Linked DNA regions of Rattus norvegicus. The protein of the gene in region 1 purifies or fractionates together with the protein of each later gene. This does not show direct contact. Links are inferred from orthologs where the notes say so. Each region holds a gene or a part of one and is shown on either strand. Other genes may lie near its edges.

What was found.
Region 2: the proteins of Arfgef3 (region 1) and Phb2 purify together in Homo sapiens (affinity purification with western blotting; 4 studies listed by BioGRID). This does not show direct contact. The link is inferred for Rattus norvegicus from reciprocal best matches to the Homo sapiens genes ARFGEF3 and PHB2.

What each region holds. Positions count from the first base shown.
Region 1 is NC_086019.1:15,220,316-15,225,172, reverse strand, and holds the start of Arfgef3 (ARFGEF family member 3), read left to right. Parts: upstream 1-1,430; 5' UTR 1,431-1,535; coding exon 1,536-1,620; intron 1,621-4,857. UniProt on the Homo sapiens protein: Participates in the regulation of systemic glucose homeostasis, where it negatively regulates insulin granule biogenesis in pancreatic islet beta cells. Also regulates glucagon granule production in pancreatic alpha cells.
Region 2 is NC_086022.1:159,202,575-159,207,405, reverse strand, and holds the start of Phb2 (prohibitin-2), read right to left. Parts: upstream 3,459-4,831; 5' UTR 3,333-3,458; coding exon 3,206-3,332; intron 3,056-3,205; coding exon 2,971-3,055; intron 2,699-2,970; coding exon 2,619-2,698; intron 1,795-2,618; coding exon 1,610-1,794; intron 1,000-1,609; coding exon 870-999; intron 754-869; coding exon 650-753; intron 582-649; exon of another isoform or gene 321-581; intron 237-320; coding exon 159-236; intron 1-158. Other genes in the region: Emg1 (ribosomal RNA small subunit methyltransferase NEP1), read left to right, coding at 3,710-3,877.

The sequences.
Region 1 (4,857 bases):
TAATTAAAAACTGAATTTGTGCTGGGTGGTGGTGGCGCACACTTTGAACCCCAGCACTCAGGAAGCAGAGGCAGATCGATCTCTGTAAATTCAAAGTCAGCCTGGTGTACAGAGCAAGTTCCAGGACAGCCACAGCTACTTGGTGAGACCCTATCTTGAAAAAAAAAAAAAAAAAAAGCCAAAAACCAAGATACAAAGAACCCAAATTCGCTTGTAACCCCACCTTCATTACTTATCACAGCTCTCAGAATAAAGTCGTTGCTTTCCTTCAGGCCTCCTTCCTCTAACTGCTGGCAGAGGGGAAGCACATGAAGTCATCTTAAAGAGCAGAGGCTCTGTTCACGCTACCTTCCTAGTTTAGTCCTCCCAGCTCCCAGGGGGCAGGCTTTCCAGCTTGCCAAAACCTGATAGGCTGAACTGTCACAGCCAGTGTGTCCCTTCAGAGGCAAACAATGCAGCCAGCACAAGAGAGATAAAGAAAGGAAGGGAAGAGATCTTAATTTGATGGTGATGATGATGATGATGGTAGTGGTGGTGGTGGTGGTGTGGTGGTGGTGATGGTGATGATGATGATGATGATGATTAATTTATTTTGACAGTCTCGTGTACCTCAAGCCCGTCTCAAACGAAACTTCTAGGTCTCCTATCTTTACCTGCTGGTACTGAAGGTTTTAAAAAACATCTTCACATTCGGACTGTGTGGAATACAATTCTTGTTGGTTGGGAAGTAGCCGAGGTCTAGTTTCCTCGCTTATATACTGGCTCATTAATTTCTAACATACAGGGCAGTCCCACAGGTTGACTACTGGTCTATTTATAGATTTTAAGTTGTCAATTAAATCTATTGATTTTTTTTTCTTTTTTTCAATTTCTGCCTTAGCTGGTTTGGTGGAAATCTCAATGTACTAAGGGGGAGTGTATTCGTTTTAATCTTCTTCTAAACCCTTCCTGGCTTAATTTTCACATCCAATTCTCTAAGTATTAGAGAGAACTGCATTAGAGTCTGATGCACGAGTCTAATACATTGTCATGTAAGCTCCCAGCAGGCAGACATGACGTAGTTCTCACTGGATGGCTTCAGCCTTCCGCGGGGAGGGGACCAGCTGTTTGCTATTTACTATTTATTACTCTCTACCCCCTAGAGTAGAGAGGCTGGGAGGCGCTGGCCCAGCAGGTGATTGGCACAAGCGACCAGGCCCCTCCCTGCTCTATGCCCGCGGATCTCGGTGAATTCCCTAGGGCAGAGCCTGGCCGGCAGCCAGCCGCAGATCCCCACCTTTGGATGAAGCCTGGTACCCCAGGTCCTCCTAGGCACTAGGTAGGCGGCTGCGGCCTCCCGGGTTCCCCGGCTGGTGAGCGCACCTGACCCGGCGGGCGTGGCAACAGGCGGGGCGGCGAGGCTGACGTGGCCCGTGGCGTGGAGCGGGCGTGATTCATCAGCGGCGGCCGAGAGTGATGGGGACGAGTGCCGAGGCCTCCTAGGCGCGTCCCCTGCGCGATCTCGGGGTCGGTGGCCTGGCTCTGGGAAAGCCAATATGGAAGAGATCCTGAGGAAGCTGCAGAGAGATGCGTCCGGGAGCAAATACAAAGCCATCAAAGAGAGCTGTACCTGGGCCCTGGGTAAGTGAGCGGGAGGCGAAGGGGTGCGTGAGGACACCTGCTCCCCGATCTCGGGCTCCTCCCGGCCCCTGGGCAGGAGGGACTGTCACCGAGTGTGGCTTATGGATGTTGCCTCGGAGAATTAATGCGGGGTATGAAAATCTTGGCTCAGCGTGGACATGCAGCTGGCTCCATCTGGTCCCCTTACCACTTCCCAAACCTCTATGGGAACCATTGCCTTTGGAGTGAGGCAACCCCATTCCTGGTCCCTAGAGCCCATAGGCACGGGTTCCCCAAAGCCAAGTTAGGACCTCCAGTTTGTGTGAAATCAGGGCCCTGGTTTCCAGGGGTATGGAAGAAAAAAAGGAAGTTAATTAAAGCAACAGCCCTCTTCTCAAACACTGGTGAGTGGAACCAGGAAGGGAGAGGCTGGTTTAATTTGATTTTGCTGATTGAGGCCACCTTGCTAAATATTCACTTTTACGGCTATTGTGCATGGGAAATAACAGTCTGAAGGAATTGTGTTACTCCTGCAGTTCGGTTACTGACTGGCTCTCAGACAGGTGGGCTTTTAGTGGCGTGAGCTATGCTAAAATTGAGATAAGTTCCTGGTTGCAAATGAGCATTTCCCATCATGTAGGCTGCAGTCCTCAACATCGGAAAATAAACGGGATGACATATCAATTAGGCAAGACCAAGGCACTGAGAATGGGGAGGACTGAACTGCACTAAACAGGCAGCTCTGTGAGACCCTTGCTTTACAAGAGCCTGCATGTTATGCCTCAGTAACCAGTTAATTTAAAAAAAAAAAAAAAAAAAACAACAACAAAACCCTTTTCTTGAAATAAAAACCAATTGGCACTTGTCATGATTCTTTGCTGTGTGCAACCTGAAAAAAAAAAAAAAAAAAAAGACACAGAAATGCTATCAGTTGCCCGTCCACTAAAGGCAGAATTCTGATAGTGTTTTAGGTCATGCTGTTCTGATGGAAGGTCTTAATACACATGTTTGTGCACACATGTATGTCTGTGTCTCCCTGTGTAGACAATTGTAGCAGCACCATCCTTTGTTTAATCTCTGCATATCCCTAAATTGTCTTCAATTATTGCCCAGGGAGGTTTATCTTGTAGGTAGAAGTAGTACTTGGCCATTTTAGTGGCCGTATTAAATGAAAATGGACTAGCTGTCTGAGAGGCGGCAAGGCTCCTAAAGCTGCAGTAAGGTTTCAGTGGCCATTATCGTTAACTGTTCAGCAATGATTCCTAGCTGGATTCCCAAAAGCCTCTCTAATGGAAGGTCACAGACGGCTGGCTAACATAGTAAAGGAGGCCCTGACTGTGCATGGAATACACCATTCCTGGTATTCCTTATTAGTTTGCTGTGAATGAAACTGATTGAGATAAACACAGAGGTGGTGAGTAACCCAGTGTTGTTTGTTTTTTAATAAGTTGGACCTTTGCTATTCAACATCTTGCGTGTTAAACAGCAGGTGTTGAATTTAGGCCCCGGAAGGTACTAGGGAAGCCCAGATCTGAGGCCAGGTAGGTTTTCTGGGTCAAGTTCAGAATTCACCTTGACCGTAAGAATAGATGAGGTCGGGGCTGGGGATTTAGCTCAGTGGTAGAGCGCTTACCTAGGAAGCGCAAGGCCCTGGGTTCGGTCCCCAGCTCCGGAAAAAAAGAACCAAAAAAAAAAAAAAAAAAAAAAAGAATAGATGAGGTCCCGTTTACTGCTCAGTGCTTACTCTGTAATTAGCAAGAGAAGAGATAAAGCTGTGACGGTTAAATAACATCGTGGAACATTCCTGGTTACAAGGGAAAAACCACAGCTGGAAAACATGGCAAGGAGGAGCGTCTCCCGGAGGAGGAGGATGGGGTAGATGTTACTCACTGGCTGGTTTTCTGTGTCGACTTGACACAAGCCGGAGTTATCACAGAGAAAGGAGCCTCAGTTGTGGAAATGCCTCCAAGAGACCCAGCTGTAAGGCGTTTTCTCAACCAGTGATCAAGGGCGGAGGGCCCAGCCCATTGTGGGTGGGGCTGTCCCCTGGCTGGTGGTCTTGGGTTCTATAAGAGAGCAAGCTGAGCAAGCCAGGGGAAGCAAGCCAGTAAGCCACACCCCTCCATGGCCTCTGCATCAGCTCCTGACTCCTGGCTTCCTTTGGTGATGAACAGCAATGTGGAAGTGTAAGCTGAATAAAACCCTTTCCTCCCCAACCTGCTTCTTGGTCATGATGTTTGCGCAGGAATAGAAACCCTGACTTAGACAATGGGTAATCTTTAGGTTCTCTTATTTTTCTTCTATTTTTTTGAGCATACATTTCAGACATTCCCTGTAGTGAAGAATTCTTAAACCCGAAGCAGTTTGTTGAAGGGGAGTGGGGAGTGCAGTAGAAACAAAGGCATGGGCGTTTTTTGCTGGTCATCTTCTTCCTCCTACAGCCAAGTCAAGGTTTTTACTAGAACGTAGTTGTTGATGATCAGCCGTTCGTATTTTTAAATAGAGTAACATTTATATTTCTAAGAATGCTTAGAGAATCTAGAGCAGCTCCATTTCGTATGGCCCCACCAAGAGCTCCAGGGCCCGGTGGCAGTCATCTGTGACACTTTATTGATGACACCATGCACAGCAGTTATTTTCTTTGCTTCTGATATTCTTCTGCCTGGAATACCTTTCCAGATCCCTCAAGGCCTCACAGGAAGCCTTCTCTGCCTGTCTCGGTGGAATCATTTACTCCGCTGGCTTAGAGCCCTGCCCTCCAGACTCTCTTAGAGCACTTAGTACTTTAGACTTGGCACATGAATACCTTGAGTTCGGGGAAAAGGCGAGTTAAAGCTGACCCCCACCCCACAGTGTGCTTGCTCCGTCCATGAATTGTTCATTAGAAGAATAATGGGGTTTGGGTTGGTGTGAAATTATACAGTTTATGGGACCTTGACTTGATCTTTGTGAGTTGTCTGATATGTTCTACATAGATTTTGAGACCACCTTACCCCATACTTAGACTGTGTTAGGAGAGGGGAGTAATCCTTATTTAGATTTTCATGGGGGCAGCACGGTGTTGGAATTAGCTTTAGCTGTGAATTTGACATCACCCTAGAGTCACCTGAGAAGAAGGGGGCCTCAACTGAAGAATTGACTAGATCAGATTAGCCTGGGACTGTGTTCATGTGACATTTTCCTAATTGCTCCTTGATAAAGGAGGGTCTAGCCCACCGTGTGGTGTCCAGGCAGATAGGACACGAGATGTGTGAGAAA
Region 2 (4,831 bases), on another chromosome or scaffold:
ACAACCGTAAAAACAAAGCCTGGGGAGCACTGCGGGGTCAGTGGAGGAGGAAGGGTGCCCAAGGACACTGTTTAGGTAGAGACTCAAGCCAGTGTGACTGTGGCTGAACACTTTCAATCTCGATCGGCAGCCCTTCCACAGTGAGGCCTTCCACTCACCGTTTTAGAGATGTTCTGGGCAGCCCGGATCTTTCGGAGCTTGATATAGCCAGGATTCTTGCTCAGTGCTTCTCCAAGGTGAGCAGACAGGGTTAAGGATTCTTCTGGGCCAGGTTACATCTGTGACAATCTCCCCCACCCTCCGCCAAGAGCTCTTTGGGCTGTCAGATTCGAGGTCTGCGCTCACATGGCTACTCACACTTTGGCTCCTCCTGTGGGCCTCCCTACAGGATGCTGCCAGCGCTGTGGTGGCAGCTGACAGAGGTGAGGCCAGCAGTGCTATTGATCTGGCCTTACAGCAGGGAGTCAGGCCTCTGGCGCCCCTGCCAAGATTCCAGATCTCACTAGTTGTCCTGTCCTCCCACCACCCCCAAGCCAAGAGTCAGTAGGCCAAGTCGCATTCGCCTTAGTCTCATCAACCGGCCCATGGTGCAAGATGGCAAACAGGTTGTGCCAGGGGAGAGGCCAAGCTCTGTGCAACAGAAGGATATCATCTTAGCAGCCTCCGCCTCCCCCTCAGCCTGCACAATCTTCTGTCGTTGTTCCTGCTTTGCTTTCTCCACCAAAAACTGGGCCCTCTGGGCTTCCTGCTGGGCTGTGGCATAAGTGAACTGATGTTATAGCTGTAAGGTGTAGGAAGCCCACATACATGTGGTCCCCCTTCTCCGGTCTCCAGAAGCCCACCGACCTCGCCTGCCTCCATGGACTTACCCACTTGTTTGGCTTCTACAGCAGCTGTGTACTCTCGGCTGAAGCTTAGCTCTGTGATAGCTACATCGTCCAGGATGAGGCTGAAGTCCTTGGCACGCTCTGTCAGCTCTCTTCGGATCAACAGAGACACCTGGGGGCAGGGGTTGGGAGGGGAGGTTTGGTTTGAACTGAAAGGAAGGTGGCATTGCTGTAACTATCTGATCGCCAGAGCTCCTGAGTATGGGCACCAAACCTATCACCTAAATCCTTAAACATTCACTAGAAAAACATGGTTCCCTTTCTCCATGTGACAGTCAGGGCAGCATCAGACAGGTGTCACGACTGTCCCGTGTCACACCGAGTCCTAATCTCCTCTTTTCAATGTATGCATCTCCTTAGCTCCCTGTCAATCGAGGAAAGCCCTTTAGAGACGTGGGAAAGGGTATACAGCTATTGTTCTCTCCTGTGCTTCCTTCTTAACGTCCACTGCTATCAGGTTCTACAGCGGTGTCTCCTTATTTCCCACAGTCCAACTGGCCATGCAGGCAAGGAGAACCTGAGACTTCTGATCCTCCTACTTCTACCTCTAGTGCTGGGATTACAGGCATGCGCCACGCCTGGTTTGACACTTGGGAATACAACCAGGATTTGTGCACGCTAGGCAAGCACTCACCGACTGGACTACAGATCCATTCCACCCCATCCTGGAACACCTTTTATTTAGTACCCAGTAACCCTGACCAAGGAGACAGGGGTCAGACCTGAGCCCGCTGGGTAATGAGCTGCGAGGCGTTGAACTTGGCCACCACACTCTTGAGCACCTCATTAACAATGGACGGCAGCACTCGCTCCTCATAGTCTAGGCCTAGGCGCTGGTACATGCTGGGGAGCTCCTGGGCATTGGGCCGAGACAGTACACGCAGGGAGATGTTCACCATCTGCAGGTCTGAGGGAGAGGTCAGCAGTGGCCGGTTAAGGCCAAATTCCCCCTTTCCCAGCATCTTTTCCTATGAGTGCTACCCACCATGCTACCCACCATGTTACACAGTACAGACTAGCTCCACTGGGAAGATGATCATGTCAACGAGGAACATGTGGACAACACGGGTGAGACAGATCCTTGTTTACTGAGAAATCTTTTCTACAGGTCTTCCATTAATACAGCTTTAAAAAAATTTTTTTTTTTTTGCTACTCCTCCAAAGTGGATTCACCAAGCAGCACAATTTTGGGTTTCCCCCTAATCATCTGGAGAACCAGAACTGTGAACTGTTTATTGTTTATTTCCAAGGCCTGTGGCTTGGCCAATGAATAAACCACATACACTGCAAACAGCACAAAGAAGCACATTTCTGGGGGCTACTTGCCTCAGTGTGTACATGGGAATGAGGCAGAGGCCTGGGGAATCTCAAAGGCAGGACTTCTAAATGTGGTCTACAAGGAAACAGCTAGTGAAGAGTGGGGGCACTTTCTCCAGAGCAAGGTGTACTGTGGATGTAATCAACAAGTCAACAGAAAAAAGGCCTTAAAAAAAGGCTTGGATCCAGGCAGCAAGGAAGAAAGGCAACTCATTTCGTTTATGCTAGGCAGAAGGTAACGTTAAAACGTGCACACATACTTACATGTATTGTTTTGAACCGTGAGGCATGGCTCTTTTGCAGACATAGAATACAAGCCCTAAGAAACACTACCATTTCTGGCAGCCTTGCCAGGCTCATTTTACATTTCTGTCTTTCCCCACGTGCCATGCAGCTCCCAGTTGCCCACATTACCTTTGGAGCCTGTGGGGGAGGAGATTTTTCGAGGTCTGGCCCGAATGTCATAGATGATGGGGTACTGGAACCAGGGAATCCTGGAAAGGAGAGGTCAGGGACAGGAGTTGGGAAACTACAGTTTCATTGATTTTGACCAGTTTCCCCTCACCACTCGTCCTTGGGCCTGTTCCTCCCCATGACCACAGACAGGGAGATTCTCTTTTCCAGGTCGAGAACAGCCTTTTATGCTGGCACTGTCCTTACGAGAAGGAGTGAGGAGGGGAAAAAGCAGTATCGAATCCTGTTGTTAAGTCTGGCTACAGCCGTCAAGGGTGAAGGGTCAGGGCCTGCTCGCTCTGCCCGCCATTACCTGAAGTGAAGGCCTTCGGCTAGGATTGTGTCCTGTTGTACGCCACCAATACGATTAAAGAAGATGGCTCTGTGACCACCTTCCACTGTGGAGAGAGGGGTGGGAGTCAGGACAAGCTGCTGGTCAGGCTCAGGCGGGACAGGGATGAGGGAGCATGGAGGCGCGGACACTTGGGGGAGGTAGGACAGTGGGTCTGGAGACCGCGAGGTCCGGTCAGTGGAAGGAGGTTGCTCACCAGTGAATACGGACTCACGGACGCCGTAGGCCACAGCCCCGGCCCCCAGCAGCAGCTTCAGCGCCGTGCCCATGCCCCGAGGCCCGGAGGGCAGGCGTCCCGCTAGGTCCTTTAAGTTCTGGGCCATGTCTGATTCTCCTGAAGGCGGCGGCACCAGTGGTCAGGAGGGGGTGCCCGCCAGCTTCTACCCCACTCCAGTTTACACACCTCGCCTTGCACACGAGGATTGGAGGCCTTAGAGCTCGCGGGAGAAAGGGCACCGGAAGTGCGTTCTCTCTGAACCCGCCCCCGTTTGCTTAGTCGGACCCAAACCTCGCGCACAGTAATGGCGCATCCGGAAGTCCCGCCCCCTTTGGAGGTGTGCCCTCTTAGAGAGGCTTCCGTACAGGTATCGCCATTTTCAAGCGCCCTCTTTCAAAATGGCAGCTAGAAGGAAGTTTGCAGTGAGGCGGACGTGAAGTTCTAACTTAAGGACCTTAGCGCAACTTCCGGTCTGCTTACAAGATGGCTGCGACCAGTGGTGGCTTCCAACCTCGTGAGCGGCGTTTTTCAGTGCAGGAACAGGACTGGGACCCTGCGCCGCCTAAGAGACCCCGGCTTGGGGCAGGAAGCAAGTGTGGAGGCCGTAGGCTCATTGTGGTGTTGGAAGGGGCCAGTCTGGAGACAGTCAAGGTAGTTTTGAACATGAATGCGGAGGTAGTCCATTGATGAACCAGATTCTGTGGGGCACAGAATGAATGGAAAAACGGAGCCGTGAAATTTGCTTTTGAAGGATGACCTAGTTTTGCAGGCGGTTGACATCCTGGATTGGCAGTGTTTTCTTTTGCTCTTGACTCTCATTTTAGCTTTTAGTTAATTTACCAGGGACTCTGTGATATAAAATGCAAAATGGGGGAAGCATTGAGGTTTCCCACATTTCTAAAGGCCAGTGACTTCCTCAGCCTTTTATTGCTAAGGATTTGATGTTTTATTTTGTTAAAAGGCTTTCGACCGCCAGCTTGTTTTATATTTACCTATTTTGAAGTGTGTCTGATCAGATTATTTAAAAAGCCTTCGTCTTTGCTTTTTTACCCCCTTAAATACTTATTTTACCCTTTCTTATGCATGCAAGTCTCCATGTGGCCGTGAGCCACCTCATGTGGGTGCTAGGAAGCTAACTTGGGTCCTGTACAAGAAGGCTTTGTCATAACCCCTGTGCCATCTCTCTTGCCCCCTCCTTCCTTCCTTCTTTCTTTTGTCTTACCTTTCAGAGCTAAACTTGTTCATTGGTTAGATCCAGAAGTCATCCCCCAACCCCTTCCCCCAATACACACATACCCCACACACACTCTGGATGGTTGTATTTTGTAAGTCTTGGAATGCAGTCGAGGTTGGCTTGGAACTCTCCACCTTCAACCTCCTCAGTACTTGGATATTTATAGGTGAGTTTCACCATGCCAGGCCTGACCTGGATTTAAATTTGGTCCTTAGCCTTTCCTAGTGACTGTGAGAAAACATGTTTGCTCTCCCTTTGTAAGGTGGTTGTATACCAAACCACACAGGAGCTGTATTGACAGTCCTGTAAAGGTGGTTAAGAGTGTTACCTGAGAACCCGAGGTGAGAGTCATTTCCATTTGTTCTTCATGT